4 linked regions of the Diceros bicornis minor genome follow. The protein of the gene in region 4 interacts with the protein of the main gene of each other region in a pairwise test. Links are inferred from orthologs where the notes say so. Each region holds a gene or a part of one and is shown on either strand. Other genes may lie near its edges.

The links.
Region 1: the proteins of LDOC1 (region 4) and FOSL1 interact in binary tests that used the Homo sapiens proteins (3 or more experiments, as listed by UniProt). The two-hybrid records come from large-scale screens. The link is inferred for Diceros bicornis minor from reciprocal best matches to the Homo sapiens genes LDOC1 and FOSL1.
Region 2: the proteins of LDOC1 (region 4) and ZGPAT interact in binary tests that used the Homo sapiens proteins (3 or more experiments, as listed by UniProt). The two-hybrid records come from large-scale screens. The link is inferred for Diceros bicornis minor from reciprocal best matches to the Homo sapiens genes LDOC1 and ZGPAT.
Region 3: the proteins of LDOC1 (region 4) and NRIP1 interact in binary tests that used the Homo sapiens proteins (3 or more experiments, as listed by UniProt). The two-hybrid records come from large-scale screens. The link is inferred for Diceros bicornis minor from reciprocal best matches to the Homo sapiens genes LDOC1 and NRIP1.

The regions. Positions count from the first base shown.
Region 1 is NC_080770.1:7,381,750-7,389,017, forward strand, and holds the start of FOSL1 (fos-related antigen 1), read left to right. Parts: upstream 1-4,263; 5' UTR 4,264-4,471; coding exon 4,472-4,561; intron 4,562-4,818; exon of another isoform or gene 4,819-5,235; intron 5,236-6,529; coding exon 6,530-6,727; intron 6,728-7,268.
Region 2 is NC_080758.1:499,968-507,979, reverse strand, and holds the start of ZGPAT (zinc finger CCCH-type with G patch domain-containing protein), read left to right. Parts: upstream 1-5,006; 5' UTR 5,007-5,152; intron 5,153-5,408; 5' UTR 5,409-5,557; coding exon 5,558-6,111; intron 6,112-8,012. Other genes in the region: ARFRP1 (ADP-ribosylation factor-related protein 1), read right to left, coding at 3,677-3,759, 3,982-4,069, 4,303-4,558. UniProt on the Homo sapiens protein: Transcription repressor that specifically binds the 5'-GGAG[GA]A[GA]A-3' consensus sequence. Represses transcription by recruiting the chromatin multiprotein complex NuRD to target promoters.
Region 3 is NC_080766.1:17,395,407-17,403,198, reverse strand, and holds the start of NRIP1 (nuclear receptor-interacting protein 1), read left to right. Parts: upstream 1-4,788; 5' UTR 4,789-5,086; intron 5,087-5,627; exon of another isoform or gene 5,628-5,899; intron 5,900-5,917; exon of another isoform or gene 5,918-6,565; intron 6,566-7,792. UniProt on the Homo sapiens protein: Modulates transcriptional activation by steroid receptors such as NR3C1, NR3C2 and ESR1. Also modulates transcriptional repression by nuclear hormone receptors.
Region 4 is NC_080781.1:128,281,391-128,288,948, forward strand, and holds LDOC1 (protein LDOC1), read left to right. Parts: upstream 1-4,658; 5' UTR 4,659-4,791; coding exon 4,792-5,226; 3' UTR 5,227-5,768; intron 5,769-5,871; 3' UTR 5,872-7,041; downstream 7,042-7,558. UniProt on the Homo sapiens protein: May have an important role in the development and/or progression of some cancers.

The sequences.
Region 1 (7,268 bases), on a different chromosome or scaffold from region 4:
CAGTGTCACCAGCAGGAGAACGGAGAGAGCGATTGTGGAATATTCATGCAGTGGAATGCTACACAGCAAGAGAAAAGACCAAGTCACTGCTGCACCCAACAATGTAGATGAATCCATCAGACACGTTGAGTAAAAGAAGCCAGACCCAAAAGAGCACACTCTGCGTGGTTCCATTTATATGAAGTTCAGGAACAGGCAAGACGAATCTATGATGCTAGAAGGCAGAATAGTGGTTACCTACGGGTAGGAGGTCGTGACCAGGAGGGGGCACAAAGAGCCTTCTGAGCTGCTGGAAATGTGCTCTATCTTGATGAGGGCGGTAGGGTGGAGCATGGGTTTACATATATGTAAAAAGTCATTGAGCTGAACATGCTGGATGAGTGCACTTTACTGTACGTATGTTAAACTTCAATTTAGCCAACAACCTAAATATAAGAACCAAAATGATAAAACTATTAGAAGAAAACATAAAGGTAAATCTTCATGAGCTCGAATATGGCAATGGATTCTTAGATCTGACACTGGAAGCATGAGCAACAAAAGAAAAAATAGATAAACTGGACTTCTTAAAACCTTTTAAAACTTTATACATCAAAGGATATTATGAAGAATGTGAAAAGACAACCTACAGAAGGAGAAAATATCTGCAAATCATATATCTGGTAAGGGATTGGTAGCCAGAATATATAAAGAACTAATATAATTCAACAACAACAACAAAAGCCAAACAATCCAATTGAAAATGGGCAAAGGACTTGAATAGACATTTGTCAAAAATATATACATAAATGGCCAACAAGCACATGAAAAGATGTTCATTGATCATTAAGGAACATGATTAAGGAAATGCAAACCAAAAGACAATGAGATACCACATCACACCCTCTAGGAAAATAATAAGTGTTGGCAAGGGTGTGAAGAAATTAGAACCCTCATACACTCATATACTGCTAGCAGGAATGTAAAATGGTAACACTTTGTAAAACAGTCTGGCAGTTCCTCACAAGGTTAAACAGAGAGTTACCATATGACCCAGCTATTCTACTCTTAGGCATGTACCCAAGAAAAATGGAAACATATGTCCACATAAAAGCTTCTACACAAATGTCCATAGCAGCAAATAGCCAAAAAGTGGAAACAACACAAAGTCCATCAAATTTATGGATAAATAAATGAATCATGGTATATATATATAATAGAATATTATTCAGCCATAAAAAGGAACAAAGTATTGATACATGCTACAACATGGATGAGCTTGGAAAACATTATACTAAGTGACAGAAACAAGACACAAAAGATCACATGTTGCATGATTCCATTTATATGAAATGTCCAGAATAGGTAAATCCATAGATTAGGAAAGCAGATTAGAGGTTACCAGGGGATGGGAGGAGGGAAGAATGGGGAGTGATTACTTAATGGGTATGGGGTTTTTTTATGGGATGGTAAAAAAGTTTTGAAACTAGAGAGAAGTGGTGGTTGCACAACATTGTGAATGCACAAAATTCCATTTAAAATGGTTAATTGCATGTTGTGTGAATTTCACTCAATTTTAAAAATAAATAAACTTCAATTAAAAAGTGAATGGGAACTGAAAAGCATAAACATCACCTCCACCACTCTGGGGGCACTGACAGAACGTACTGGGTGCAAAGCACACTTGTCTATGGCCTCCTTTTGCCACCCTGCAGCCCCAAGAGCTGGGGATGCTCTGGGGGTCAGAGAGGGAAAGTGACTGAGCCAGGCTCACAGGGCTGCCAAGCGACAGAGCCAGGGTCTCTGAGACATCCCAGCCCCCAGGCTCCCGCAATCACTGTGGCCTCCTGGCCTCCCAGGGTGGGAGCTGGTGAGGTCAGGGGCCAGGAACGTTTCTGTAGCCACCAGGCGGGAGTTAGTGACTGAGGAGCTTGGAATGTGCTGCCTCTGAAAGGACCTCCTTGTGGCTCCACTGACGGTTAGAGCAGGAAGGGACTTTCAGAGTCGTGTAATCACACACACACACACACACACACACACATTGAGACCTGAGCCCCTGCTCAGTCACTGCCCAGGCTGCTTGGGGAGTAGGGCAGGGTGGTGTTTCTGGAACACGCAGATGATGCAGTCAAGGCTGACTCGTGTCAGGCCTCACATGTGCCACCACCTGGCCGCCTGTGTCACTCTGACCTGTCCAGCTTGGGCTCAGCCAAGGAGTTCAGATATCAGTTAGCGGGTGTGAGTGTGTGTGTGTGTGTGTGTGCGCGCTGCACGAGTGCCTTAGCGTGCGATCAGAGCCCCAACTGCCCCCACTCGTGGGGCTTTTTATTAACATGTGTATTTATTTTCTCTCTTTGTCACGTTCTTACTATACACTGTACTTAGCCTGTGACATTATTTTATTTCTATTCTCCAACAACCCTGAGATGTCGTTAACATTATGTCTCCATTTTACAGATGAGGAAACAGAGGCCCTGGGAGATTGTGTGCCTCATCTAGGTCACACAGCTGGTGAGCAGCCTACCCAGAATTCAAACTCAGAACCCAGACTTGTCTGATTCCAGCACGCGTGATCTTTTCCATGTGTCACACTGCCTCAAAAAATCTCCCTCTCTCTCTCACACACACACCCCTATATTTCTCATTCTGGTAAACTGCTGTTGGTTTCATTTCTTTTTAGAGAAAGACAAGCATTAAGTCAAACAAAGGCAAGGGAGAGGCTGTAACCACCCTCTGAGTGCACAGCACTTTACAGCTTACAAAGCACTTTCATATCTGTGACCTCATTCGATCCTACAGCAGCCCCATGAGGTCAGTGGGAGGCTCAATTATGCACAGTGAGCCTGGGACTCAGAGGGAAGGCAACCCACCCAGGTCACAGAGACAGAAATGGTAGCTCTGGGACTAGAAGCCCAGGGCCAACCTGGCCTTCTGGCTCTAAGTCCTGAGTGTGCCCACAGACCCCCGGCCTTGGTCCCCAGGGAAGGCCACCCAGGACCCTGCCTCCCTGAAATCTTCCTTCCCCGAGGACAAAACTGGAACTGATCAAATGGAGGCACTAACGGAAAGCAGGGAGCCCATGTCTCTTTCTGTAGTCCTGTGACGCCGGCAGCTCCTTACTCTCGCTGGGCCTTAGTTTCCTTATCTGTAGAATGGGAGGAAGAGGAGAAGAAGCTTTGGGGTGGTCCTCACAGCACTGACACTCGGCATGTGTGAAAAGGCGTCTGTGAGGGCTTGACAAATCTTGCCTGAGCCTGGGCTTGGGGCTCCCACAGCTCTGATTTGGCAACCTGCTTCAGCCACTCGCTGAGTGATTTTAGGCACTGCATTTCCACACCTCTCGGCATCAGTTTCCCCATCTGTAAAATAACGATGATGACGGCACCTACCTCCCAGGCTTGTTGGCCTTTGGTTGTTGACCTTTGGCCCTGGCCTCACATTCACACAGACCTTGGATGTAATCTCCAAACAAGACTGCTGACCACACTGCCCGGAAGGGCAGTGACAGTATTTAAAGAAGACGGCGTTTATCAGACCACAGGACACCTGTGTCCCACTGCAGGCTCTCACTGCTTACGTGAGCTCTGAATTAAAACTTGTTATAGCTCCTCAAACTATCCTGTGAGCAGCACAATTACACGGTATTGTATTTGTGCGTACCTCGAAGCATTAACTTATTCATTGTAAGCATTTAAAATATACCTCCATTTTTGTAACTCTGGTGTCACTTATTCACTTTTTAGAATACCTGAACCTTAAAACAATGCCAGTGGAAGGGCCCCACGCCACGACTGTGAGACCTTGGATGGCAGTAACATGGTTCCTGGCACGAAATAAGCACCTAGTAAATAATAATAATAATATCAATCACATTTATGATCCACTTTACGGTTTCCAGACCTCTTGCACATTCTACATTCCAGCCTTCCACGCGCGGCAGGGTGGCTATGTGATTATTTCGTCCCAGTTTACAGATGCAGAAACTGAGGCCAGACCCCAAGGAGAGGGCTCCAGGGTGCGGACCGGGAGTGGGGCTGCGGGCTCGCTGTCTGCACTCGGCGGCTGGGCGGGACGGGACAGAGGGACTGGGCGGAGCGCCCGGCTGCTCACAGGTGCGTAAATACGCAGGGGAATCCTCGGCTCCACCTGGGTGCAGCGAGGAAATTGCACCATGTATGGGCAGCTACGTCAGAGGGGGCGGGCCCACTGCTGTCGCTGGGGGACGTCAAGTCCTCCCCTTTCCCCCGAAAAGGCCGCTCCCGGACTGGAGGAGGCGTCCAGAAGTTCGGGGCGGACTGGCAAAAGGCGGCGCGTCTGGAGAGGTGGGGCCCCGAGGTGACCGGCGCCACTGCGAAACGCCCGCGCCACCCCCCCAGTCGGAGTGGTTCAGCCCGAGAACTTTTCATTCATAAAAAGAAAGGACTCCGCAAGGAGCGAGTGAGTCAGAACCCAAGCCGCCGACGCGGACCCCACGGAGCAGCCAGCCCAGGGCATGTACCGAGACTTCGGGGAACCCGGACCGAGCTCCGCCGCCGGCGGTGCGTACGGCGGCCCAGCGCAGCCCCCGGGGACGGGCCAGCAGGTGAGAGAGACCCGACGCCTGGGGCCGCGAGTGGACAGCGCCTGTGACGCTGCGGTCCGCTCCCGCGCGCTCCGGGACTGGGGCCGGCAACCGGAGTAGGGATCGGGTCTGGGGGCTGCGGCCGAGGATCCTGCCCATTCTTCGCCGTCCAGGGGCACTTTCCCCCACAGCCCGGGGGAACGCGCGCGGCGGGCGGAACAAGGATCTGCGAACGTCCCCTCTCTCCCTCGCCCCCTTTTCCCTTGCTGTGTACTTACTGTCCCTCTGTCTCTGTTACCTTCTTTCTTTCCTTCTGCCACCGCTAATATTTCGGCGCATCTGCGTCAGAGGGAGCCCCTTAGTCGGGATTAGTCCTAGCTCCGATAAGGTCCCAGGGTCTGATCCATCTCGGACTAAATTCCCGGGACCTGAGTCTGGGCTGCGGCCGAGAGGTCCCCACGCAGGAGGGAGGTGGGATCATCGGCAGGCTAGCTCCACAGACTGGGAATCCTCGGCGCTGTCCGTGATCGTCCGGTGTCTGTCTGTTTGTCCCTCTCTACTCTGTCGCCAAGTCCCTATCCCCTTCTTGGCGCAGTACAGCCTGGTGGGCTCTGGGACACGGGTTCTTGACGCTTTACAGGATGGAGCCAATAGAGATCGGGAGGTGCCGGGACGTGCGCGGGGACATGCAGCGGGCAACTCCCGCGCGCCCCCGACTCTCGGCACCGAACGGCGCCCGCTGCCGGCGGGGGGTACCCGGGAGGCTGCAGGTGCCCATTTCCTGCCGAGGGGCCGCGAGCACGTGTCGCTAGGGGAGAGAAGGAGCGGCGTCCGTTCCGCCGAGTCACGGCGGCCGAGTCACGGTGGCTGACTCACTCGGAGCGCCCCTCCCTTCCTGGCCCGGAGCGGCCCGGGCCCCGACAACCTCGGGAGCTGGAGATGCCGCCGGCGGTGCCTCGGGCCCGGAACTGGGGTCACCGGGCCACTGGGCCCACAGCGCTGGGCCAGGGACACCGCCGTCTGGACTTGCCTGGGCTTGTGAGGCTCTTCCCGGACTACTGGGCGCCCACACCCAGGATCCAGCCCCGGGGCTTGAACCCAGGGGCAGGTAATCCTTGGAGCGCATACAATGCAGCCAGGCGTCCTGCTGGGCGGTTTCCATCTCATTTACTGGATTTCACCGAATCTAAGACCTCTTTGGTTAAAAAGCCCACCATTGTTTTGTACCACTAAATTTTTTTACAGTTACAATTAACCTGTGATTTCAGAGCTACTAAGGAGTATTTCTTGGCATCAATGAAGTGCTGTAATCCTCATCTATGATAATATTAGAAACGAGGAAACTGAGGCACGTTGATGTTAAATAACCTGCCCAGAGTCACCGCCAGTAAGTGGCTGAGCTAAAATTAGAACTGGGACAGCTTGAACCCAGAGCAATGGCTCTCGCCCACCACAGCCCTTGTGCACTGGGCATCTGCCACTTCCCAGGCTCTGTCACATACATTCTCTCTCCTGTTTCTCACAGCCACCCTCAGGGTTAGGAGCTGTAATGCTCTGTGCAGATGGGACTCAGGCAGGGTGCAGGAGTGGGTGAGAGCCCGGCTGCCTGTGGCACAAACCCCGCTTTCCATTTACTGGCTGTGTGTCCATGGACAACTGTTTTCCTGTCTGACAACGATGATACTGTTGTGCAAATTATATGAGTCAGTATTTGTAAAGTGGTTGGGACAGTGCCTGGAATTGACACTCTGTAAGTATTAGCTCTGATGGGGAAATGGAGGCACAGAGTGGTTATGTGACCTGCGCAAAGTCACACAGCTCATGAGCAGGGATTTGTCACCCAGTCAGGCTGACTGCCAAACTGGGCTCTTTCAGGTCTCTCAGAACCAGCAGCTGCCTTGAGGGTGGACGGCAGTGTGGCTTCTGTCCACTGGAAGCCCCTCCATCCACACAGAACTCATCCCTGGCCCTCCATTTCTTATCCCTCAGAAGTTCCACTTCGTGCCAAGCATCAACGCTGTGAGTGGCAGCCAGGAGCTCCAGTGGATGGTGCAGCCTCACTTCCTGGGACCCAGCAGCTACCCCAGGCCTCTGGCCTACCCCCAGTACAGCCCCCCACAGCCCCGGCCAGGAGTCATCCGGGCCCTGGGGCCACCTCCAGGCGTGCGTCGCCGGCCCAGTGAACAGGTAGGGAGCAGGGGTGTTGCACTGGTTCTGATGCCCACAGGGTTGCAGAAGAGAAGCTCGTGCCCAAAAGGAGAACACAGGCTTGGGGGGGAGGGGTAAGGTGGGGCCACTGGTGACTATTGGCCAAGGCAGAAAGTGATAGGAGACCCCAGGGGAGACCCAGGGGGCAAAGAGGTCACTTCTAGATCAGGGAAGCATATTAGGTGGAGGCATATTAGCCTAGAAGGATGGGTAGCAGTTACATAGATAGAGATGAAGGAAATGACATTCCAGTTAGAGGAGATAGCAGGAGGAAGAATGGAGGTGGGGGTGAGAATGTGTAAGGTGTACATGCGGAAAGGTGTGTGGGCAGCAGAAGATCTCCACCTGCTGACGTGTGGAGAGGGTGGTCTTATGCTGTCTGTATAGCTGGAGAGAGAACAGAGAGGAGAGAGTTCCCTTCAGCCGCTCGCTGCGTCTCAGTTTCCCTATCTCATTTAATCCTCATAAAAACTCTCTGGGGAATGTACTCTCGTTTTCCCCAGTTTACAGCCAAGGAAAT
Region 2 (8,012 bases), on a different chromosome or scaffold from region 4:
ATGACGCCATGGCACTCTGCGTAGTACTGGGGAGGGCAGAGAGGGGGTGCTGAGCCATGGGCACTCAGCCGCCTCAGGGGCACTCCTGACTAGAAGACCCTTCTGAGGGTGGGAAGGTGGGTGGAGTGGAGATGCGCCCCCACACCCCGTCAGGAAGGGCTTGCTGACCTCGGGTGGGGAGTGGCCACCTCCCCCCCACTTCCCGCTGCCGCACACCAACCCCACTTCAGCGTCTGCTCCTGAGAACCACCCATGACCACCGCCTGCTGGTGGCCAGAAAGGAAAGATGGGGCTTGGGGGCTGGAGGAGCCCAGACCAAGCCCATCCCTCTGCAGACCTGGAGTTGGAGAGAATGCACTGATGGGGACTTGTGCTGGCACAGACAGCAAGCCTGGCAAGTGTGTCACTGACAAGCCCTGGAAAGACCACTGAGGGCTGAGGCCAGCTCCACACCAGCAGCAGCTCTGGCCCCTACACAGAATGGCAGGGCCAAAGACCAAACCAGCATCACTAAGCTCAGAGCTCTGCAGGCCAGACTGGTGCCAGGAGGGCAGTCAGCCCTGGGCTTGCTGACAGCAAGTGTCACAGGATCCCCTACAACAGTTAACCACCAGAGCCTGGGGACAGCTAGGGGACAAAATGGAACATAGCACCCCTCAGAAAAGATAGATACACAAAGTGGGGACATATGAGGGACAGACCCACTGGGCGCGGGGCATGAGGGATGCAGCCACAGGTCTGGCGAGTCCACCCTCTATCCTAATCAGACCACCGGAAGCACCCGCATTCAGGAGCACCTTCGCCACTCTGCCCCAGCTCTCCTGCCTGTCACAAGACCCCAGGGACCTGGAACATCCACATTGACTCCTACGGCAAGGCCGTTCCACTAGCTGGGCAGGACTAGCCAGCGGTCAGCGAGCTGAAGGCCCTGGTGATGCATGTGTTCCAGGGGGTGGGAGACACCCGGGGAGACCCAGGCCTGGCAGCTCTGGACAATTCTTAGGGTATAGTGAGCAGGCTACCCCGACCCCAGCACAAGACAAGCTCTTGTATATGCATTTGCTACAAAAGAGAAACCCAACGCAGCCCTCCTGGGTCCTGCAGGCCATCAGTCCCGCACACAAAAACTTCTCCAGCCTACATACTAGGCAAGGTGAGGACAGTGGGCTGGCCGTCTTGGGGCTGACACAGGGAGCTGGCAGGCCCTACAGCGGAGGTCTCCGTGGCAGCAAGCCCAGTGAGACAATCACCAGGCAGCCCCTGGGGCCCCAGGGAGTGGCAGAGGACTTCTGGCATGCAGCTGGGCCCTGGCAGACGGATGCTGGAGCTGCCACCATACCCAGTGGATGTCAGGTGATGATCCAGCAGTGGTGGCAGCGACAGGAGAGCACACCTGGGGCTCAGTGTGAACAAGCCCAGGGGCACAGCAGGCTGCTCTGGCCCCACAGCACTCGCCACGCTCCAGACCCTGATGGCTGCATCACGTGTGGCCACGTGGGGGGATCCCACACAACCAGCAGAAAGAGGGAAGGGCTCAAGCTTGGCTTCTGGGTGGGCCCACACCAAAGGTCTCTTAGGTGTGGCCTAGAGGAACAGAACAGAAGTCCTCCCCGCGGCAGAGCGCCAGTGGTCCCCCTGGTCCCGCTTGTGTGGGCAGACGCGGCCCAAGGCTAGCATGCACACAGACCCATAGGCAGCAGCACACAGCCTAGATGAAGGTCTAGGGCAGACATGGAGCAGTGGACATGGGGAGTGAAGGTCCACCAGACATCTGCCGGGGACAAAATGACTCGACTGGCCCAATACAGTGCTGCGGTGCTGGACCACATGGGGGCCAGGGCCCAGGACGCAGCATCGGGGAACGGGGAGGGGAGTAAGAACTCCACTTCCCATCCCCCCAGTGACCCACAGGGGACTCCACTGCTCCTTCCCAGCTCTGGGCTCTACAGGGCTGGGGGTGTGGTCAGCACGCTCACCAGGTGCATGGCAGGAGACCTGCTGAGTCACAACCCCTGGCTGCCTCCTGGGCACACTGGACAACCCGTGTCCAGGGCCCAGCGGAGACCCCTCTCTGGCAGGAGGTAACTGACCCCATCAGCAGGAGGTGGGGCGCCCACTCCACAGCAAGCCAGAGAGCACATGAGGAACCCAGGGGACCACCAGAGAAGGCGACCTCAGCAGTCAGGGCTCAGCCCCTCATGATGAAACCATGGCACAGGCAGAAGTAGCAGTGCAGGGGGCCACAACCAGCTGCAAAGCTGGCCTGTGGTGTGGCTTGTCCCTCTCCTCCCTCTTCCAGCTTCCCCTCAGGAGGAAGCCCCAATCTTGGAGGAACTGCTCCCCAAGGCAAGGGCATGGATGCAAGCGTAGCACAGTGGGTGGTGGCCAACACAAGAACCTGCCACCTGCTGCAGCCTTGCTGCCCAGTGGCAGGCAGTGTACCCAGTGATCTGTCTCTACTTGGCTCCTGCAGGACCCACTTTGATCCACAGAGAGCCTCCTTACCAGATCACAGCTGCCCAGGGCAGCCCACCATGGTGACCCCCCAGGCAGTATGGAGTCCCAGCCAGCTTGGCCTGACAGTGGGCAGCTGTGAGCAGTTTTCCTCCAGGGCTCCCCACTGGGCCAGCCACAGTCCCTCTGGCCCCAGCACCCGAGCTGACCCCTCCCCCTGCCTAGTCCCATGTCCTCTTGGCTCCCTTCCCAGGTGCTGGTCACCAACACGAACCCTGCACCCCAACCTCCGTCTCAGCACCTGCTCTTGAGACCCTTGCCTGTGACACAATGGTGGAATCTGTTTCACTCCCCACACGGGTCTGGGGTTCGGACAGTAGGCTTGGCTCTTCCTCAGTCCAACTTAAATGGCCACAGGGAGCCTGTCAGTCACCTTTTGGCAACAGAATGGAAGCTGCTCTCTTGGCTAGAAATCAGAGCAAGAGAAAATGCTTTGGAAAAGGTGACTGGGTACCTACTGCTAGAGTCAAACCAGAAATGAGAACCAAGGCACTCAGTTCTAAACACATAGGCAACCAACAAGTACTGGGGCGGGCATGTCTGCACCAAACCCACCATGCCAATCCATTGGGACAGGGCTGCCTAGGGAAGGAGCTAGGTCTGTCCCATTCACCGCTAGACCCCAGTGTTGGGCACAGGCTGAGCTGGAGACAGACTCCAGTCTTGAGGTTTGGGGGGAGGAGCACCACACTGGGGTCTCAGAAATGCCCGAAACTTATATCAAAAGAGGATGCAGTTGCTGTGGGTCTCTGAGGACATCCTCCCGGATGGGGAAGAGACCACCACGGAGTACAGGTCCTAAGCTAGGATTGAAGGAGAGGGACCCAGCGGGGGAGACGCAGGCCCTGCTGGTGGGGCCGAGTACTGCAGGTGTGGTGCCTTCCCTACATCTGTTTCTTGGCCATCTTTTGTCTCGTCCTGGGGTGAGTAGCAACGACAATCTCTAAGCCAAAATGAACCAAGTGTGTCCTCACTGCTGGGGGAGGAGTGCGGGAACTGGGATAGGACTGGGGGGGTGCTCAGGAACAAAGTGGGTGATGGCGGCTGCTGACAGGAGGGAAGGAAGGTGAGCCTGAGGCTTTCTGAGGAGAGGAAAAAGCCCAGGGGTGCCACCTGGGCAGAAATGGCACAAGGGGCAGGCGGTACGCGGCATCTATCTTACCTTGTCCCACAGAGACTGCAGCTCTTCCTGCCCCCCTAAGTCCCAGAACAGGAGGCGAGCCTTTCCCACATCCACAGTGCCAACTGGGAGAAGAAAACAGGCAAGGCTGTGGCCTTGGTCCCTGACACACCATCTCCCAGCTCTCCGGGGGCAGAGGCCACTCTGGTGCTCCTCGAGGACCAGCCGACAGAGCTGGAGCAGAGGCCTCACACACAAGGCTCTGCTGCCTGCCTACTGGCCTGAGGACGTCACAGCATCCTGAGGGGTCTGCCCCCCAAACCCACAGCCCTAAGGGATCCCCTTACTGTTTAGACCCACGGTGGTGGTGATTTTGGATAGACTCATCCCCTTGTAGTTCTTGTTGAACCGGGTTTTTGACTGCTCCAGAAAGGTCTGCGGAGCAGGAAAGAGGCATTAGATAAGGACTAGAGATGTTTTCAAGTCTGTTTTGCTAATGTCTTTCCTTAACCCATTCCTTTAAAACAAAACAAAACACAACAACGTTTTGCTTTTAAAGCAGCTTGTGGTGACCATCCCGCGGCCTTAAATGGGGTTTGGATTCTGTCCAGGTGGTGGGCATACTAGTAAAGGCACAAACCAAACGGAGAGGGAGCGCAAGCACGCACCGTCTTCCCGGCATTGTCCAGACCCAAGATCAGGATGCAGTACTCGTCCTTCTGAAACATGTACTTGTACAGGCCCGACAGCAGCGTGTACATCCTGCCCTGGGCACCGCGAGAGACCAGTCACGACGCTCCGACCGGCGCCCGCCTGCCCTGCCTGCTGACAGCCCAGATCTGGTCCGGAGCACTCCCGACTCCTCCCGCCGCCCGTCCCTCTTCGGTCTCCCCACTCTGCCCTCTTCCCCGTAACTCTCTCCATCCCTCCGGACCGCCGGCTGGTGTCCTCGCCCCAGGGCGCTCCTCCTCCCCAGTCACCGCCGGGCCTCCCTCCGCTCCCCGAGCCTCAGGCCGGTCAAGGCCCCACGCCCTCCCGAGCCCCCCGGGCGCTCCCACTCCGGCCCGCAAGGACGAGCCACCCCTGCCCGCCCGGCCGGAGCCCGGGAAACAGCGGGAACCCCGGACGCCCGCCTCCGGGAGCCGGGTGCGTGTAGGGGGCGGCCTGGGGCGGGCAGATGGGGACAAGCCGCCCCGCCCGGGGCCCCGCCTCCCGACGCCCCGACCGGACACCGGCCTTCGGGGCCCGCCGGCCGGCCGCCGAGAGCTGCTCCGGATCGGCCGCCGGTCCTCGCCGCGACCTCGGACCCGCCCGGGAGGCGAAGAACCTGCCCGTCTACCTACGCCCGCCGGCCGCCGCGCCTGAGCCCGCGGACCGCTGACCCCGCGCGGCGCCCGACGGGACACGGGCCTGCTGTCCCGGCAGCCCCCACGCAGGCACTTCCGGTGGCGGCCGCGCTCGGCAGGAAGTGCGCGTTGGCGGCGAGGGCGGAAGCGGGACGCCGGGCCGCTCTAGCCGGTGAGGCGGCGGGCTCTCTATGGCCTGGCGGGGGCGCGGAGGACCGAGGGAGCCCGGCGGCGGCGCCCCGGGCGGGCAGACGCGGCGTGGGGCCGCGGCCGGGCTCCGGCTGTGGCTCTTCCGCTTGGAGCCGAGAGCCGTTCCCCGCCTGTCTTCTCGTCCCTGCGGCGGGACCGCGGGCGGCCCTGAGGGTGGCCTGGGGGCCCCGCGCCCGTCGGCTCAAGCTCCGCCGGCTCACCGGCTTCTCTCCCCGCAGCGCCGCCTCCGGAGGATCCGGGCCGACCCCCAGGATCCGGGCCGACCCCCAAGGACCAAGCCATCCCCCGAGGACCAAGCCATCCCCCGAGGTCCCGGGCCGCCTCCCCCGACGACCGAGCCGCCCCCCGAGGACCGGGCGCCCCCGGGATGGACGAGGACAGCCTGCAGGCCGCCCTGCAGGCCCACGGCGCGCAGCTGCGGCAGGTGGAGCGGGCCCTGCGCGCCGGCCTGGACGCCTCCGAGCTGGCCGACCTGCGCCAGCTGCAGCAGGACCTCAAGGAGCTGATCGCGCTCACGGAGGCCAGCCTGGTGTCCGTCAGGAAGAGCAAGCTGCTGGCCGCGCTGGACGGCGAGCACGCGGCCCGGGACGAGGCCGAGTACCTGGCCTTCCAGACGGCGGTGGCCGAGGCCGTGGAGGCGCCGGGAGCCCCGGGGGCAGAATCGGAGCCTGTCCCCGAGAGAGAGGCCGGGCCGGAGGAGGCCGGCGGGGAGGCCGGCGGGCTGAGCGGGCGGAAGGTGAGCGCGCCCTACCGCAGCCCCTGGGGCACCCTGGAGTACCACCACGCCATGGTGGTGGGCGCGGAGGCGGCGGCCGGCGGCTGCGCGGGCGTGCGCGTGCTCTATCTCTACCCCACGCACCGCGCCCTGAAGCCCTGCCCGTTCTTCCTGGAGGGCAAGTGCCGCTTCCAGGAGAGCTGCAGGTGAGCGCGGGCCGGCGGGCGGGCGGGCGGGCTCGCGGCGTGTCCTGGTCTGTGGTCTGTGTCTCCCTGGGTTCCCTCGGGTCAGTCGGGAAGGAGGCACCTTCTTCGCGGTGAGACCTCTGCAGTGTCCGTCCGTCGTGGAAACTCGCCCGCGCGAGGTTAGGGAGCGCGGCCGCCCGCGCCGTCCTTGCCGGCCGTCTCCTCCCGTCTGTCCTCCTGCCTTGGTTTTTTTTCCTTGGACTACTTTAAAGCGAATTCTGGAAGTTGCTAGTTTTTTCACCTATAAATAGTTAAGAATGCACCCCTAATCTAACTGACAAGGACGTCATAAAAAGGTCATCTCCGTGTCGCCGTTGCGCCCGACAGAGGGAACCGCAGTGCCCCGTCCCTGCTGACGTTTCCACGGCCCCTGTGACGGTGTCTTCTTTTTCTCAGGGCGCGACTTTGATTTTGCTCCTTCGTGCTTTGTCTTGAGAAGGAATATTGACTGAAATTTCTAGTAGATAATTCTCTTTTTTAGCCAATAGTCCAGGGTAACTGTCTCTAGCTCTTTGGTCGTGTTATTTCCTTATAGACTTTTGCAGGGTCCCAAGTCTTATCTGGTACGTCTCCCTTCCTTCCTTCTTTCTTTGTAAGTTTTATTAAAGAACAGCACACATACAGGTTAGCACGTAGATCATGAGGGGACTTGGAGAGCTTTCAGAGGAGACACAGCCTGTCCCCAGTACACATGTTAAGTAAGAGACGTAATGTTTCTATCCTTTTTTCCCTAGTCTCTGGGGGGCACGTCCACATGTGATGTCCCCTGTGGTGGTGAGAGCTGGCATGTCCATGTGCTGCTTCCTCTGGGACAGGCACTTTCCTCGAGTGTCACAGTATGGACTGTGTCTAGTGTCCCCACGAGGTGGCCTGCCACCACTCAGGGTGCATGGTTCCGAGGGGCGGAGCTGGGGCCCCAGCAGTCTGGCTCTGAGACATCCCCACTCGCCGTGATTTGCGCTGTCAGCTTTAGGCCCCACCGACACATCCTACACACACCCACCTCGCATTACTCAGCACTGCTAAGTTATTTACTTGCATTTGGTTTAGATTTTTAAAAATACAATAAAATAGACAATGTTGAAGCACTCTTTGACCACTCTCTGCTGCAGTCCCCTCTCTGTCCCGGGAGGCTGTCATTGTCACACTTGGGTGTGTATCTCTCTAGCGTGTGTTAGTTCTTTACAGGCATACGTGTGTCTGTAAGTGGTACATGTCTGTGCTTTGTTGTCTAAGTGGTGTCATACGGCAGTTCGTCCTGCACCTTGCTGTTTCCGCTAAGCGTGTTTGTGAGAGACCGCCGGGTTGATGTTTATAGAACTGTTTCATTCATTTTCACTGCTGTGTTATCTTCTTTCATGTGAATATACCACATTTTACTCACTCTGTCCCTTTCTGATGTTTTCCAATTTTTATTTGTTACAGTGTGCTGTGAACATCCTAATACTGTCTTCTTTTGTAACTGACGAGAATTTCCCTAGTGTGTAGCCAGCGTGGAGAGTGTGTGCAAATTTTCTGTTTTCATGTGATGTATGTTTCCTAGTCCCTAGTCTTCTCCACAGTCACCTGCAGTGACATTATCCGACTTGCAGATTTGTGCCTATTGAAAGCTGGGAAAATGGTGTCTTGACTGAATTTGTATTTCCTTGATTACTGGCGAGATTGAGTTTCTTTTCATATATTTGTTGTAACTTAATCTCTATATTTCAGTCTCCTTATCTGTAAAACAGAGATGAGAATCATCTTTCACAGTTGTTGGGAGAATGGAGTGCGTTAATATGTGTCAAGAGTGTAGAGCAATACCTAACATACAGTTAAGCACACAGTAGATTTTTAGTTCTTACGTTGTTATTGTAAAATAA
Region 3 (7,792 bases), on a different chromosome or scaffold from region 4:
GTCCATTGAAACAAAAAATTTTAATTTAAGTCCAATATACCTCTTTTTCCTTTTGTCACTTGTGATTTTGGTGTCATATCTAAGAAGGCTTTGCCTAACCAAGATCATGAAGATTCATTGCTATATTTCCTTCTAAGAGTTTTATAGTTTAGTTCTTACATTTAGGTCTATGATCCATTTTGAGTTAATTTTTGTGTATGGTACAAATAAGGGGTCAAATTTCATTCTCTTCCATGTGGATAATCAATTGCCCCAGCACCATTTGCTGAAAAGACTATTTTTTCCCCATTGAATTGTGTGAAATCTTAGGAGTATGTATGTGTGAGTGTGTGTGTGTGTGTGTATTTGAGGGTGAAGGTAATTTTAGTTCGGTTTTGTGAAAAGATAAAGTATATAAGAATTTTATGTTTCTTAAACTAAACAAATATAAAACAGATATGTCAGGGTCAGAGTCTATGTCTATTTCTTTTGAGGTTCAAACAATTGCACAAATGGTAAACATACATCATGTTTTCTTTATAGCTTACTTCCCTACAGAACCCTGAATAATTTGGAAAAACAGATATATGCTTTGCTTTAGTTGAAGGTTATCTGAATAAAATCTCTAAAAATTAATAGGATCATATTTTATCCAATTGATTTCTTATAGGGGTGTATGCTTGTGAAATCACAAAAAGAAATTTTATATTCATTTATGAAAGGACTGCTTAGTGAGAGCCACATAACCCATTTCTACATAAAAGGATAGGATTCCATGTAATATTTACTTTCAATTGTATAGACATATTAAACTGACCCATCACCAAACTGACAGGTTCTCCTTAGCCTCGTTGGGATTTCTTGGCTTTTTGGACCCCCTAACTATACTGGACATTTCTTTCTTTGGGGAATGAGAAGGCATCGTCCACATTTGCATTTCACTGAAGTATTGCCTTTTTCTTGCACACTTTCAGCTGTGTGTATGCAATCATTTTCAGACTTTTTCTTTAAGATCCAGTTTTCAGGATTCATTTTAGTGTAGCAATTGAGTGCCCTGGTTTTGTCAGTCCTTGGCACTCAAGCCCCATTGAAAGTAAAAGGGCTCCAATCTCATTAGGGAAAACTGCACAGTAACCGGCAGACACGGTGTCTAAACATCTTCATTTTAGCTCTTGAGACCTTCCTCAGTACTCAGGGAGCTGCAGCACATCCTTATCACTGCAGCTTCAGGCAGGTACTGCCTCAAACAAAGGCTGGGGTGGATTTTATAGTCCACAAGTAACTGGGCATGGAAGAATTGAAGAGCAAAACCCTGGGCTGCTAGAGCCAGGAAGAAGCTTGACAGTAACTAGCATAGAGGTAGTTCGGTGTTCCAGGGAAGACTTTCTTGAAGCTTATTCAACTCCAAATTTATAGTGTTGTATTTCCGCCATAAAGCCGGTTTATGTTTACAGTCCACCACCAGAGTTAATAGAGATAGGAGTAGCTGTAACTACAGTGTGGTTAATGAAGACACAGTACATAAAATGTAAACTTTGCTGATTCTCTAATTGGCATAAAAGCCGAGACACAAGAAAGTGGTCTATATCAACATAGTATAGCTAAACACAAGTAATCAACACAAATAAAATCTTAAATTTAACAAGATTTAGATTTTCAATGTAAGAAAATCTCCTTTAACTATACTATAAAAGATTTCGTCTGTCCTCTTGAGCTGTGCTGTCCAATATGGCAGCCATTAGCCACACGTGGGCATTGAGCATCTGAATTTGACTAGTCCAGATCTATGTGCAATGAGTGTAAAACCACACTGAAGTTTGAAAACTTAGTGTGAATAAAAGAATGTAAAATATCTAATAAATAATTTTTATGTTATGTACACATTGAAATGATAACATTTTGATATATTGGGTTAAAGAAAGTATATTATAACAATTAATTTTACCCGTTTCTTTTTATTTTTTAAATGTGGCTACTAGAAAATTTAAAAGCACATATGTAGCTCACGTTTGTGGCTCGCTTTATATATTTTTATTGGACAGCACTTCTCTCGAGACTAAGGGACTGTAACAGCATAACTACACTGGTGTTCCACCTGAATATATTTTTGTCAGCTGTCGTAATTCATTAGTCACTAGTTCATAGTGTATAATGTGGGTTTGATACTTCTCAATGTACATTTTTGTTTTCTTCACACCTCTTTACTGCTAAACAGTCTTTTTCCTTCCATTAGAACTCCATTCCCACTTTGCCTACTTGGCAAATTCTTCTTACCTTTTAATAGCCAGCTGAGACATTATTTTCCCTGTAAAATTTTCTCTGAACTCCCTCATCCCACACCCACACCCTAAGTAGAAATAAACACTCTGTCCTCTGCGCTATGACAGTATCTTGCCTGATATCCTCCAAATGCCTACTGTTTGCTGAGCACAGGGGTAGGCGGTGGAGGTACCCAAATGCAAACCAGAGGGACATGGATTCTGTGTCTGTAGTGCTTGCATTTAGAGTGGGATACAGACAAGTAAACACCCAGTGGAAAAATGCTATAATGGGAGAGATTCAGGGAGCACACCATAAGCATACCTTTCTCAGACTACATCTTTGTGGTGGATAAACATATTGAGCCTGAACTATAAGTCTCTGATCCCATAGGGACTCTGGCTTTATAAAAATACTTTCGTTTAACTTTATAACCTGAAGGGCATCTTTTTTCGCATCACAATTGGTTAAAGCGGGAGTTGTGTACAAAATACAAATTACTTAATAGGCATTCTTATATTACATACATGCCCCAGTATCCTTGCAATGACTCTCTTAGCCAGGAAGTTTAGGTATTGATTTTTTAAAAACAATGAACAACAACAAAATAGCCCCAACACAATTAGCATCATTAAGTAAAAATGAATTCTACAAAAGGTGTGCAATTTACTCAACACTAATGCACTATCAAAAAGAGTTCAGGATTTTAACAATTGGCTTTCCGTGGGGTTGAGAAGATAGATTAATAATAAGAGGTGAGCAGCTTTGTTAAGTCATCTAACATACGGCAGTGGACTTGTTAACACTAGTGTTGGAGAGTAGGACCAATACTCAGCTTGCTGGGTTAACTGTGTACCTCACTTTTCAGGAGGTTATCTATCAACCTCAATGATCCAAACCCAGTTAAGAAGTAAAAAGAATGCTTTTCAAAGCAACATTTGAGTAGTCCAAATATCGGTCCCAAAATCTATGCATTAAGGTTCATGTGCCTTACTCCTTGGTGAGCACATCAATCCCTTACATTAGACTGAATTGTGACAAGTGAGGCTATCTGGATTCCCATTCCCAGTCTGCACCAGACTAGAAGCTGCCAATCAGAGGAGGAGGAGAATATTAGAAGCAAGCAAGCTGGCAACAGAGGAAGGACAACAGATTGTCAGCTAGTGAAGGGGGAGAGAGAGAAACTACAAAAGGCAGAGATAATCACTAAGCCATAGTATCCTGGAATCCATCAGTGCAGCAATTGATGGCTTATATACCTCCTGGGCGCGTCCCTAACACCTAGGAAGAAGCCTGATAGAGAACAGGAAGTCGATGCATTTGTTGAATCCACTACAACCTACAACAACAAATACTTTTAATAAAATTAACCCTGACTTTTCAAGAAAAAGCCAAACGAAGTCCAATAAACTACTTAAGAAAACAGAAACATGTATAATACATTTTAGAAAATCTTCATGTAACAGTCAAAAATAGTTTTTTAAAAAAGAAGTTTGACTGCGTAAAGGGCCATACTCCAATTATGCTGATCATCACCTAACTGGAACAGTTCTCTCATTTATCCAATATTGGATAAATGATGCAATATAGAACAGCAGACTTTACTAAGTTGCCTTAAGCAGATTTCAAACTGTGGTATATGCAAATAATAAGCCATCGCATGAAGTTTAAACTATATAAGATGGCAACAGATCACACAGTTGAATTACTAGGGTGATGTAAAATAATTGTTCTAAAATGCACCATCATCATTAAGCAAAATATTCCTACCATGTGCCCAGGACTGTGCTAGGTGCTAGATTTATTAAGCATTAATTTGAAAAAAGGCTTTCACTTTTAAGACTATGAAGGTATTCCAAAACTCTCCTTCATATTTTTAAAGGTTAAACGAAATTTTAAGTGCACAAGATAGCCATTACATAACAAGCATAGAATACTGTTTTATGACTTGGATAGGTTTTTTTTTTTTTTTTTTAAGTGCACTAGCAACTCTATTTTCAAATGCTATCGAATTCTTAAGGCTATGAAAACCTACATATAAGAATGGAGTGCCTCATCCACTCATTTGTTTTGTGTAATAAGTGTTTTAACACAGGCATACCATTTCGGAGTTTAGGGTGAGGCTAAGCTGTACTTGAGCATTCTCATATCGAGCAAAAACAATTTCAGCAACGGCACTCATTTCCCCTGGTAATTTTTTCATGGCGAGTTACTAAACGCTAGACGCTGGAGTCAAAAAGAAACCTGACATCTGGGGAGGTGTTGAAGGGGTGTTAATAGTTCTAGTTAGATGTTTGGGCAGCGTTGAGGATAAGATTTTAAAACAGCAAATACAAAGAGAAGGGGGAAATTCTTTTTCGTCTGACTCTCTCCTCCCTCCACTCTCTTGCTTCACCAATCCATGTCCCCCCCAATTAAGACGCGGGTTCAGCGAGATTCGGCTGCAGGAAACCGAGAGGCTCCACAGCGCTGCCTCCCTGGCCTCGTGATGTAATTGTTATTTCTTATCTGGAGACTGAACTGAAGAGAGCTGCCGAAGAAGTGGCAGCCCTGTTCTTTTTGCCTCGTCTTGTAGGGTCAAATTCTTCCCAGGGATGATGTAGATTCGCTGACAGACTCCGCTGGTGACTTCGCAGTGACAAAGCAGCTGACGATAAACCCTGCTCCTGGGTCCTACGTCCGTCCAAGGAGCTGCCCCGGGCACTCCTCAGGTCTCCTGCCCAGTTTGCCTCTGGAGTCACTCCACATTCATTCCTGGGTGCCTACTACGTGCTGGGCGTGGAGTCAGAGTGACCTGAAGTTAGTGCCTGTGCCCCCCAGGATTAAAGCAGGACACACAGATCACAAGGTGGTGGAAATTGGGGGTGGGTGGGAGGGAGCCCAGGGGCGCGTGGTGTGGGGTGACATGGGAGGAGGGCAGCACCCAGGCGGGGACCCGGGGCGTCCCGGCCCCCAGGCTGTGTCCCCGAGAGGAGCCTTTGGCCCGTGTGGCCAGAACGATGCCCCGGGCCTCCGGGAGGAGCTGTCCAGGCGCTTCGGGGGCGGCTGGACAGAGCCGGAGCGGAGGGGGCCGGCTCGGGCGCGAGGGGCCCCCACCTCTCCCGGCCCACGCGATCCTCCGCTGCCCGGGGCCCGGCAGCCCCCGCCGGCCCTCCGGAGGGCGGGCAAGGAGGATAAGCACAAAACCGAGGGGACCGCTCAGCTCCCGCGAGCTGCCCGGCCCCGAGCGGCTGCCTGCGGCCCGGGTGACAATGGGCGGGAGGGGAAAAAAAGGGTTAAGAAACTTGGCTGAACAGCTGAATGGCGTGGAGCGGCGAGGGGAGGGACTGGGCCGCGGCGGCCTCGGCGGCGGAGGGAGGAGCGCGGCTGCGGGCAGGCGGCGAGCGAGGCGCTCAAAGTCAGCCTCGCAGACATTGCAGCAGAGCCCCGAACTCGGGAGGCGGCGGCGGCGGCGGAGGAGGCGGCGGCCGCGGCGGAGGGACGAGCCGGCCCCGCGCCCGCCCGCGCGCGCCCGCCCGTGGCCTTGCGTCCGCCGCTGCGCCCGGCAGCGCTGCTGCGCGCGGGGAGAGCCGGCCGGGGCGCCGAGGGAGGACGGGGCGGCGCGGCGCCTTCGCGGAGGGAGCCTCGCGGAGCCCGGGGCTCGGAGCCGCGGCGGCCTCGGGTGAGTGGCGGCCGCGGCCGGGGGGCTCCGGGGAGCGGCCGCGGCGGCGCCGCCGGAAACGGCCCGGAGCGCGGCCCGCGGCGGCGCTGGCGTTGGCGGGCAGGGCCGCGGGGGCGTCGGGGCGGCGGGAGCGATCGCGGACGGCGGGGTGGCCTCGGCGGCCGGGAGGAACCGTTTCCGGGGAGATCGCGCCTCTCCAGCCGGGGCCGAATCTCCCCGGGAACTCGGGGGCCCGGCCAGCGGGGCGGCCAAGTTGTGGAGTTAGCCGCGGGCTCACCGGCCCGTCCGTGCCGCCCCTGTGCCGAGCGGCGTGTCCCCTGAGCCGGCTGGGCACGGGTGGCCGGGCCGGGGGCGCGCCCCGCTCGGCTGCCCCTGGGCCCCGAGTCCCGGGCGCTGCTCGCCGCGCAGCTCTCGCTCCTGCTGCCCGGGGCGTCCTGGGCGGCGCCGGGCGCAGCTCCCCGCCTCTCGCCCGAGTGCCTCCCTGCGCCGTGCTCGCCGGACTCGGGGCCAGGAAAAGTGAATAGGGAAAGGGGCCGCGCTGCCCACCCCAGACCCCCAGGCCCGGGCCGTCGGTACTTGTCCTTCCCCTCCGAGGGCGAGGCTCCCAGGACCCGAGGCCTCAACCATCACTTTACCCCTGAGCCAGAAACCCGCCTCACGTTTCGGGTGAGTCCCGTGGAGGTCCTGGGAGGCTTCTTTTCTCTCCTCTTACTTCTGTATCCTTCTTACTATTAGTGGATATTGTTTTACGAAGGGTTTCCCTGGAAAGATTCTGCAAACCCTCCCATCCTTTCCAAAGTAGTTTCCAAATTTTAATCAAGAGTTGGTGTTCAGTCTGAAGGAACAAAGGAATCAACTGTGTCTTAGAGGCGAACAAGCTGGGAGTCCGTGACACATGTTGATCTCTGAAGCATTCCGGGAGTTTCTACCTTTTATCTCGTTGGTGATTTAATTGGGTGCTGAAGATAGTAAAAGACCAGCATGATGAGTACTTTTGCGTTTTTAAAAGGACATTTTATTTGGAAAAACAATTAAGACGTTCCTAGCTACAAGGACTTTTCACTCAGTTGGTGGAACTGAGGTGGAGTCTGTCTCTGGTAATGTAAATGATTAAATGTGAGATTGCGTGTGGGGGGGGACTGTCTTGAGAGGAAGAGAGACCGTCTGTAGTCTTCCAAAGTGAAAATGGTTGTCGGTTTATATATGATGAATGCTCTTTACGTTTCGGGGGGGAATTTGTGAAGCAAAGGGCTTTGGTAAATCATTCTTTAAATTTATGAATCGCATAGAACCTGCTTATTAGTGAATCATAGGTTTAGCAAGTGGGTGGCATCTTCCTGATGTAATTATTCAATGTTTAATCACCAGTTTGCCACCTTTGTTGAAGAGACACTGAAATAAGTGGACCTTTTAAAATAAACGGTGCTTCATCTGCCTGGCACCCAAGTGTGGGTTGCTGCCTTGAGCCTGTTGAAATGTTTTTCAACTTCGAAGTTAGTTGCTCTGGTTTTGCCCAGCGGTTTGGTCATGTCGAGTGGGTTTAACTGATTCAGAGAGTAGTGGCTTCATCAGGGATGGTAACTTCTCTCTGCCTGGAATTAGTTCCTAGAGACAAAGAAGAGTCAGTCAGTGGAACAGCTGCTACCCTACAGGCTGTAGGGTTGTTAGTCTGTTTCATACATTCTGGTGGGGAAAGACCTCTTTCCATACTTAGCCCTGAAAGTGCTCTAGGAGTGTGAGTAATAGATATATTTGGAAAAAAAAAAAAAAAGAAGACGACTGCTTATTGTTGGTTTTACTCAAAGGAGTTCTCTACAGTGCCTTTGAGGTCGTTGAAAACCAGGTTTAGTGCCTTTGGAAAGACTTGACTTAGTTGGACTCACTTCTTGCATG
Region 4 (7,558 bases):
CACATTCCTCTGGAGACTGAAGAATCAAGGGGCCGACGTTTTCATGTTTATTTCAGAGGAATTTTACAGTCTGACTGCTAGGTGTATACCAGGTCAGGGTTTGAAGCATGGAAGATGGTGGAAGCAATAAGCATCAGGTATCACTCCATTGGCTTTGGGCCCATGCTCTTGCCAAATAGTGGGGTTCAAACCACCCTTGGGACATTCTGTGCCAAAGCTGTCCTGATGAAGTTTCTGAGCCTGAGATAAGTCATGCAGAGCCATCTGCCTCTGCCCGCAGCGTCTTACACGGGTGTAAGGGAAAGTAAGGAAGATGACGTGCAGCCCTAAGCAGGGTGAATGGAGAAGCAAGGGTGAAGGAAGCGCTGGCAGGCATTGACATTGGTGGGAGAGCCTCATGGGCACCGGGAAGCTGGCTAATGTGGACAGTACAGTTCTACAGTAGTCTCCCCTTATCCATGGGGGATACTTTCCAGGACCCCCAGTAGATGCCTGAAACTGTGGATTGTACTGAACCTTACATATACTATGTTTTTTCCTATACATACATACCTACGATAAAGTTGAATTTATAAGGCACAGTAAGAGATTAACAACAATAACTAATAATAAAATAGAGCAATTATAATAATATACTGTAATAAAAATCATGTGAATGTGGTTTCTCTCTCTCTCAAAATATCTTATTGTACTGTACTCACCCTTCTTCCTCTTGTGATGATGTGAGATGATAAAATGCTTACCTGATGAGATGAGGTGAGGTGAATGTCGTAGGCATTGTAACGTAGTGTTAGGCAATACAGCAGAAGGAAGATCATCTGCTTCCAGATGGCGGTTGACTGTGGGTAACTGAAACCGCGGAAAGCGAATCTGCGGATAAGGGGGGACCACTGTATATACTTTAGTCATACTACTCACCTCTTCCCAACTGCTTCCCCGTGAGTCTCTCGTCCCTCTGTCTCTCCTCCCTCCCTCCAAGTTTGGAAGTGCCTCCCAAAGTCACTGCTCAGCTCTGTACACAGTTCTGGCCAGGGCATTTCTTGTTTTTTAGGAACTCAGAACCCCCTGAGAGGTGATGCTAGCGGTTGCTTCCTATGGTTTCCTCCCTGACTCCCCCTGTCATGGGATTGTAGGAAGAGGACTAGGGCACCATGGGCCTAACCATCTCTGGGTCCCCACTAGATCTTCCTGATTCACGGAAGTCCAGTGCATAATAGTTGTTCAGTGGAAGTGCATGTGCCATCAGAGAAGCTGAGACTGTGGTACTGCACCACCAACATATTGTAGTATTGCTCTCCTGGGTTTAGGCAAGTCTTTAACTCCTGGGTCTCAGGCTCCTAGAGTGCTCATCCTCATGCATGTTCTGTGGGAGGGTCAATGAGGCAGCCCATGTCAATCACCAAATCCAGTGCCTGCCACAGGATGTGTGCTCCTGGGAGTAGAACCCTGGGCATCTCTTCCTGTATTAGGGTCTAGACATGGAAAGTGGAGCTGGACACTGACCGCTGTGCCAGGCAGGTCTACCCTCCACCCTGAGCTTTGAATGGGCAGGATGGCCAGAAACCTACCTCTGACATTTCCTGTACCGTCATTCCATCCACTGAACATTTATGGAACACCTATAAACACTTTCTGATGCTGAAGATGAAAGGATGAACGAGAGAGTGTCCCTGCGTGGCCTCAAGGGGCTTCTCATCTAATGGGGGAAGCTCATATCACTGGAAAGTCCACGGGCTCATATTCCCCCCTACCTGCTCTTTTCCCTGCACACCCTCTGAGCAGTGTGATCCCTCCTCCTCTCCTTACTTGGTCTTGGCCCTGTTTCCCTCCTCTCTCTCAGCCTCTCACTTCCATGGGTGCCCATTCAATTCTATTGTAAAAGGACTGAATAGGGTTTTTTTTGTGTGTGTGTGAGGAAGACCAGCCCTGAGCTAACATCCATTCTAATCCTCCTCTTTTTGCTGAGGAAGACCGGTTCTGAGCTAACATCTATTGCCAATCCTCCTCCTTTTTTCCCCCAAAGCCCCAGTAGATAGTTGTATGTCATAGTTGCACATCCTTCTAGTTGCTGTATGTGGCACGTGGCCTCGGCATGGCCGGAGAAGCGGTGCGTCGGTGCGCGCCCGGGATCTGAACCGGGCCGCCAGTAGCGGAGCATGTGCACTTAACCGCTAAGCCATGGGGCCAGCCCAGAATAGGGTTTTAAAAAAAATTTATTTTGCCATTTTTGTTACATCACTCATCGTTTCACAATGGAGACTGATTCATGATCAGAGATAGAACATATTGGACAATTTGAAGAATATTTTTGGACACTTTATGCAGCTACCATTTCTAATTTTTATTTGAACATCTGCACTCTGAGATTCTTTCATAAACCAAACATTTATGGTGCTTCTACTCTGGGCCAGACACTTTTCTAGACATCAGGGATAGAGCAGCTAACAAAGTAAAGTCTCTGTCCACATTGACTTACATTCTCAAGTGGAGGCAGACTGACAAACACAGTGCTATATATGATGGCTCCCAGCATGATACATGCTATGTAGAGAAATGAAGCAGGGTAAGGGGTTAGAGACTACTGGCAGATAACCGGGTGCTCTGATAGATGAGGTGGTCAGGAAAGTCCTCTCTGAAAACAGTGCGAGAAGGAGTTAGGCAGCTAACTGGGGAGGGAGCTTTGTAAGACAGAAAGGGTAGAAAGTGCAAAGTTCCTGAGGCCAGAGCTACTTGAAATGTATGAGAATCAGCAAGGAGGATGTGGGGGAAGAGGGAGAATCCCCCTCTGCCCTTTTCGTTAAGGTTCTTATGGCTGGCCAAATAATTAACAAGACAGGTTAGCAGGAGAAAATAATACCAAGTTTAATAACATGTATACATGGGAGAAAGCAGGGACACTGCGTTTCTCAACACAATAGCAGAAATTCTCGTCTTAAATACCATGTTCAGCCAACGACAAAGGAGGATGTGGGGGTGGGGGGAGTCAGTTACAGGAGATTACCACTAAAGCACAGTAAACAAGAGTAAGGTTATTATGCAGATTTAAGGCCTCACCTTCCACATTGATAAGCCTCTAGAAATGAGGTCATCCCCCCTCTTCCCAAAACAGAGAGGGAGATACCCTTACAAATGGAGATTTCCCTTATAAATGTAAATGATTGTCTGGCAACTCCTAGCAGGGCCATCCAGAGAATGTGGCCAGAGAGACAGAACTTCTGATAAGATGGGCTTGTTGGTGCCTTTTCTATTGTAACCTCTATCCTACATTATCTTTACAGCCATCATGATAGATCTGTTCCAGGAAGGAGCCACTATGTCAAATTCTTTAGGCAGTTAGTGGGGAGGTCAAATGTCCCTCAGAGAAAACAATCAAGGTAAAGAGATATATTTCAGGATGGCCAAATCTTGATCTCCCACAAGGACAATGTGATTGGAACAGAGCAGGGAACAGGAAGAGGCCTAGGAGATGAGGCAGGGCCTTATATGCCATAACCAAGATTTTGCTTTTTATTTTGAGCAAGAGAGGAAAACTGTTGGAGGATTTTGAGCAAGGCAGTGAAGAGATCTAACTTTTGTTCTAAAGGATTACTATGCCTACTCTGTGGAGAATATATATACACACACACACACACACACACACACACACACACTGCGGGAAGGGAAGAGTGAAAGTTAAGTGATTAGTTGCAGCAGTCTGGGTGAGAAAGGAAGGCTGGGATCAGGGAGGTAGTGGTAGAAGTGACAAGAAGTGATTGAATTGGGGACATATTTTAAAAGCAGAGCCAACAGATTATGTTGGCTCTAGGGTCCTGGATCCAACTCAGTTGTCAACAACTATTTGAATAATCAGGAAGTAGAAACACAAAACCATTTAAAAACACAAGTCTTCATTGTTAAGCAAAGAATAATACCCAGTGGCCAAGGGACACTAATACTAGGACATGAAATAGAGAATCAAAGATAGGCAGGATGCCTGCAAATAGTTATCGGATGATTTTAAAGAACTATTTATATTTCGTTATTTAGACACATTTCTAAAAAAGGATAGAGGTATACAATATTATTTCCCAACTAAAGTCAAATTCCTGTTTAAATATTGTTTTCTCATGAAAGACAGGACCTCTGACGGTCTTTCATAACTCTGAAAGGATGTGTGACTCCCGCGGTGCGGCCAGCAGTGCTTAACAGCTCTCTGGGTGAACGAGATTTAAATAAGCAAGGAAATGTGTTAACAAAACTTCACGTAAATGAAATGTACTGGCCACAGACCCGGCAAGGAACACTGTATTGTGTGAGTCGGCTGGGTTGAACGGTGGTTAATCCTTTAAACTTACGCAGGTTGGCCCGCTCTGACACAGGTCTTAGCGCGCCCGCGGTCCAGGCTAACGAACGCCGCACCCACATCCAGGGCTCGGTCGGGGTCCCTTGCCTTTATCCGCGGGCCTTGAGAACCATGACCCGCCCCGAGACCCTGCCCGCCGCTTCCCTGGCCCCGCCCCCCCGGTCACGTCTCCGCGGCCCCGCCTGCCCCACCCTGGCTACGCCCCCACGCCGCGCCGGCAGCTTCCCTGGCCACGCCCCCTCACCTCCCCCGGGCCGCGGCGGCGCGCCGGCCGACCGTGCGGCTTTGTGGGCGGAGCTTGCGCAGCCGCCGGGTCTCCTGCGCGCACTGCCCTCCGTCCCTGGCCACCGCGCTCCTCCGCGGACACGCACTTCCTGCGAGGCCTCTGTGCGCACCTTAGCCGAGCCGAACCGAGCCGAGCTCAGCCTTGCCCTTCCAAGCCGTTCGCCATGGTGGACGAGCTGGTGCTGCTGCTGCACGCGCTCCTGATGCGGCACCGCGCCCTGAGCATCGAGAACAGCCAGCTCATGGAACAGCTGCGGCTGCTGGTGTGCGAGAGGGCCACCCTGCTGCGCCAGGTACGTCCGCCGAGTTGCCCGGTGCCCTTCCCTGAAACGTTTAACGGCGAGAGCTCCCGGCTCCCTGAGTTTATCGTGCAGACGGCGTCTTACATGCTTGTCAACGAGAACCGATTCTGCAACGACGCCATGAAGGTGGCATTCCTAATCAGCCTGCTCACCGGGGAAGCCGAGGAGTGGGTGGTGCCGTACATTGAGATGGATAGCCCCATCCTAGGTGATTACCGGGCCTTCCTCGATGAGATGAAACAGTGTTTTGGCTGGGATGACGATGAAGAAGACGACGACGAAGATGATGATTACTAGGCCCCGAGACCCTCGGGCCTAGGTGGGAGGGCCCTGCACGCCGCTCCCCTCCCCCGCGCGCCCTCCTGCCCTGTCCGGAGCCGCCGCGCTCCCCCTCGCCCTCCTATCCCCTTTCCTACCCCTGCCCTCCCATTCTCTTCCTCATCCCCCGCCTCCCTCGTAGTGCTTGTCTTTGTTCCAGGAATAGTGAGTGCTCCAGTTACCTGCTGCTGGAGCTGGGGCCTCGCTCTGAAGCGCGCCGCCACCCAGTCTGGCCAGCCCCAGGACCCTCCGCTGCTAATTTGGACTGTGTCCTGAGCCCCAGCTTTAGGGCAGGACCCTGTTACAAACTGGTCAGACTGCGCACAGCCCTGCCAAACTGCCAGGCCTACATCTGCCCAGAGACTTAAAGCTGCCACTTCACCGTCGTCCATCACATTCCAGTGACAGACCACCACCTTTGGAGATAAGAGTCAACCTAGAAGATGCCTGAGTTGGCTACACCTCCTCGGACAATGATTTGTACAGCTCACCAACCTTTAAAGGGCCAGTCTTGCAGCCTGGTTAGTTCCCTACCTGCTCCCAGAGTCCTCCCTTGCCCCACCAAATTGCTGCAGGGGCCTAGTGTGCCTGGCAGCCAAATTGTTGACATTTCTTTTCTCCTAGGCACCCGTTTTGCACAGCTGTTATTTTTTTTCCAAAATTGCAGCAGTCCCACAGATGTGTGCATTTGGACAAAAATACTAAAAACAAACAAGAACAGGCACTCGGCCCAGCTCCTCAATACTACCTGGAAAAAGCACTTGTTCTTTTCAATAAATATCAAGCACTACTCAAAAAAGAAAGGAGTGTCTTTTAATGGTTAAATGCCATCATTGGCCACTACCTCTCTCACTCTGACTCCCATTGTTCCCACTGAGATCAGGGAAGTTAGTTCAATGCCAGTATTCCCCACTGTCATCTCTAGGCTACAGAGGACATCTACCACAGGACTTTATTGGGATTCTGGTGCTCCCCTCACCAAGGCATTTCTTAAAGCCCTGGCGAAGGGAGTGTTCTCTGGAGCCTCCTGGGTGACATGGGTAAGGGGTGACTGAGCAGGTGGCACACCATCCCAAACTGGGACACTTTTGAGAGTGAAAGTGACACTATTAATAATTAGACTGGGACAACAGGCATAAATCTGGACACATACAATATTCCTATCTTCCTGAGCCTTTGGGTTCCTTCCTTAACACTGCCAGGGAGGTTCTGTGCCTTAATTCTTATTGCCTGTGGAGTACTTTTAAGTTCAGGCTGCAGTTAACAACGTAGCACATTGTTTTAATGCCCCTTTCAGGCTCGAGCTAAAATTAAATCCTGGTTCCTTGGTAAGTGCACCGGTAATAAATAGAATCTTAACATTTCATCCTCCTTGGGAAGACACCCTTAGAATCCGCACCCATACATATGCCCCAGGTTCCTGCCTATGGAAGTTGGCACTATGCCTGGCTATCTCCTGAACTAGACCTTGTACTGCTATCTGGGCTATGCTGAGATCTCTGTGGCCCAAGAGGGCTCAGAGGCATTGAGAGAGTGGGGTGGGTGCTGAGAATAATGCGCATACCTCTGTGAGGCCATTACTCCAGGTTAAGTCATTGAAATGTTAAATCAGAGAAGCTTGGTTGGGGGATTTGTGGGGGCTCCCTCTGCCAGCCAGGCACGTTCAGGAGGATTTGAGGAGTTCAGAGTTTTCATTCTCATCTATATCTGCTAATGTCCTCATTGTACCATGCCTGGAGGCAGCCCTACCTTACGACCTCTAATTTAGACAATAAATTTCTTTATTGTTTAAGACCTTTTGAGGCTGGGTATTCTTTTATTTGTACTGGTAAACCTCACTGTGGATTAAATGAGATACTAGTCATCATACTGGTCACCTCACAGATCACGTCCATAAGGTATTTAGAACTGTCTCTGCTATATGGTGAGCACTCAGTAGACATGGGCTATTACTCCCAGCCCTGGGAACTGAAGTCTTGCTTGGGAGGCAGGTCTCTTGCTATGAGCTTAGCTTTAGTAGGAAAATGTCAGGGGTGAAGAGGAGCAGAGCAGGCTGAGGGAGAGTGGAAATGAGAGCATGACAAGACCTCATTTACTCTTTGGGATCTGACGTGAACTCAGATAGAAAGCCAGTTTACTTGGTAATAGGCAAAGTCCGGGGCAGGAGTCATTTCTCAGGTCTGGGAAAGTTGTTTCTGGAGAGTAGGGACAGGGGTGGATATTACTTAGCAAAGGAGGTTGAGGCCCAAACGAGATGGATGTGGGAATGTGGTGAGGAAGAGCTGAAAGCTAGATAAAGGACCTGGTGAGA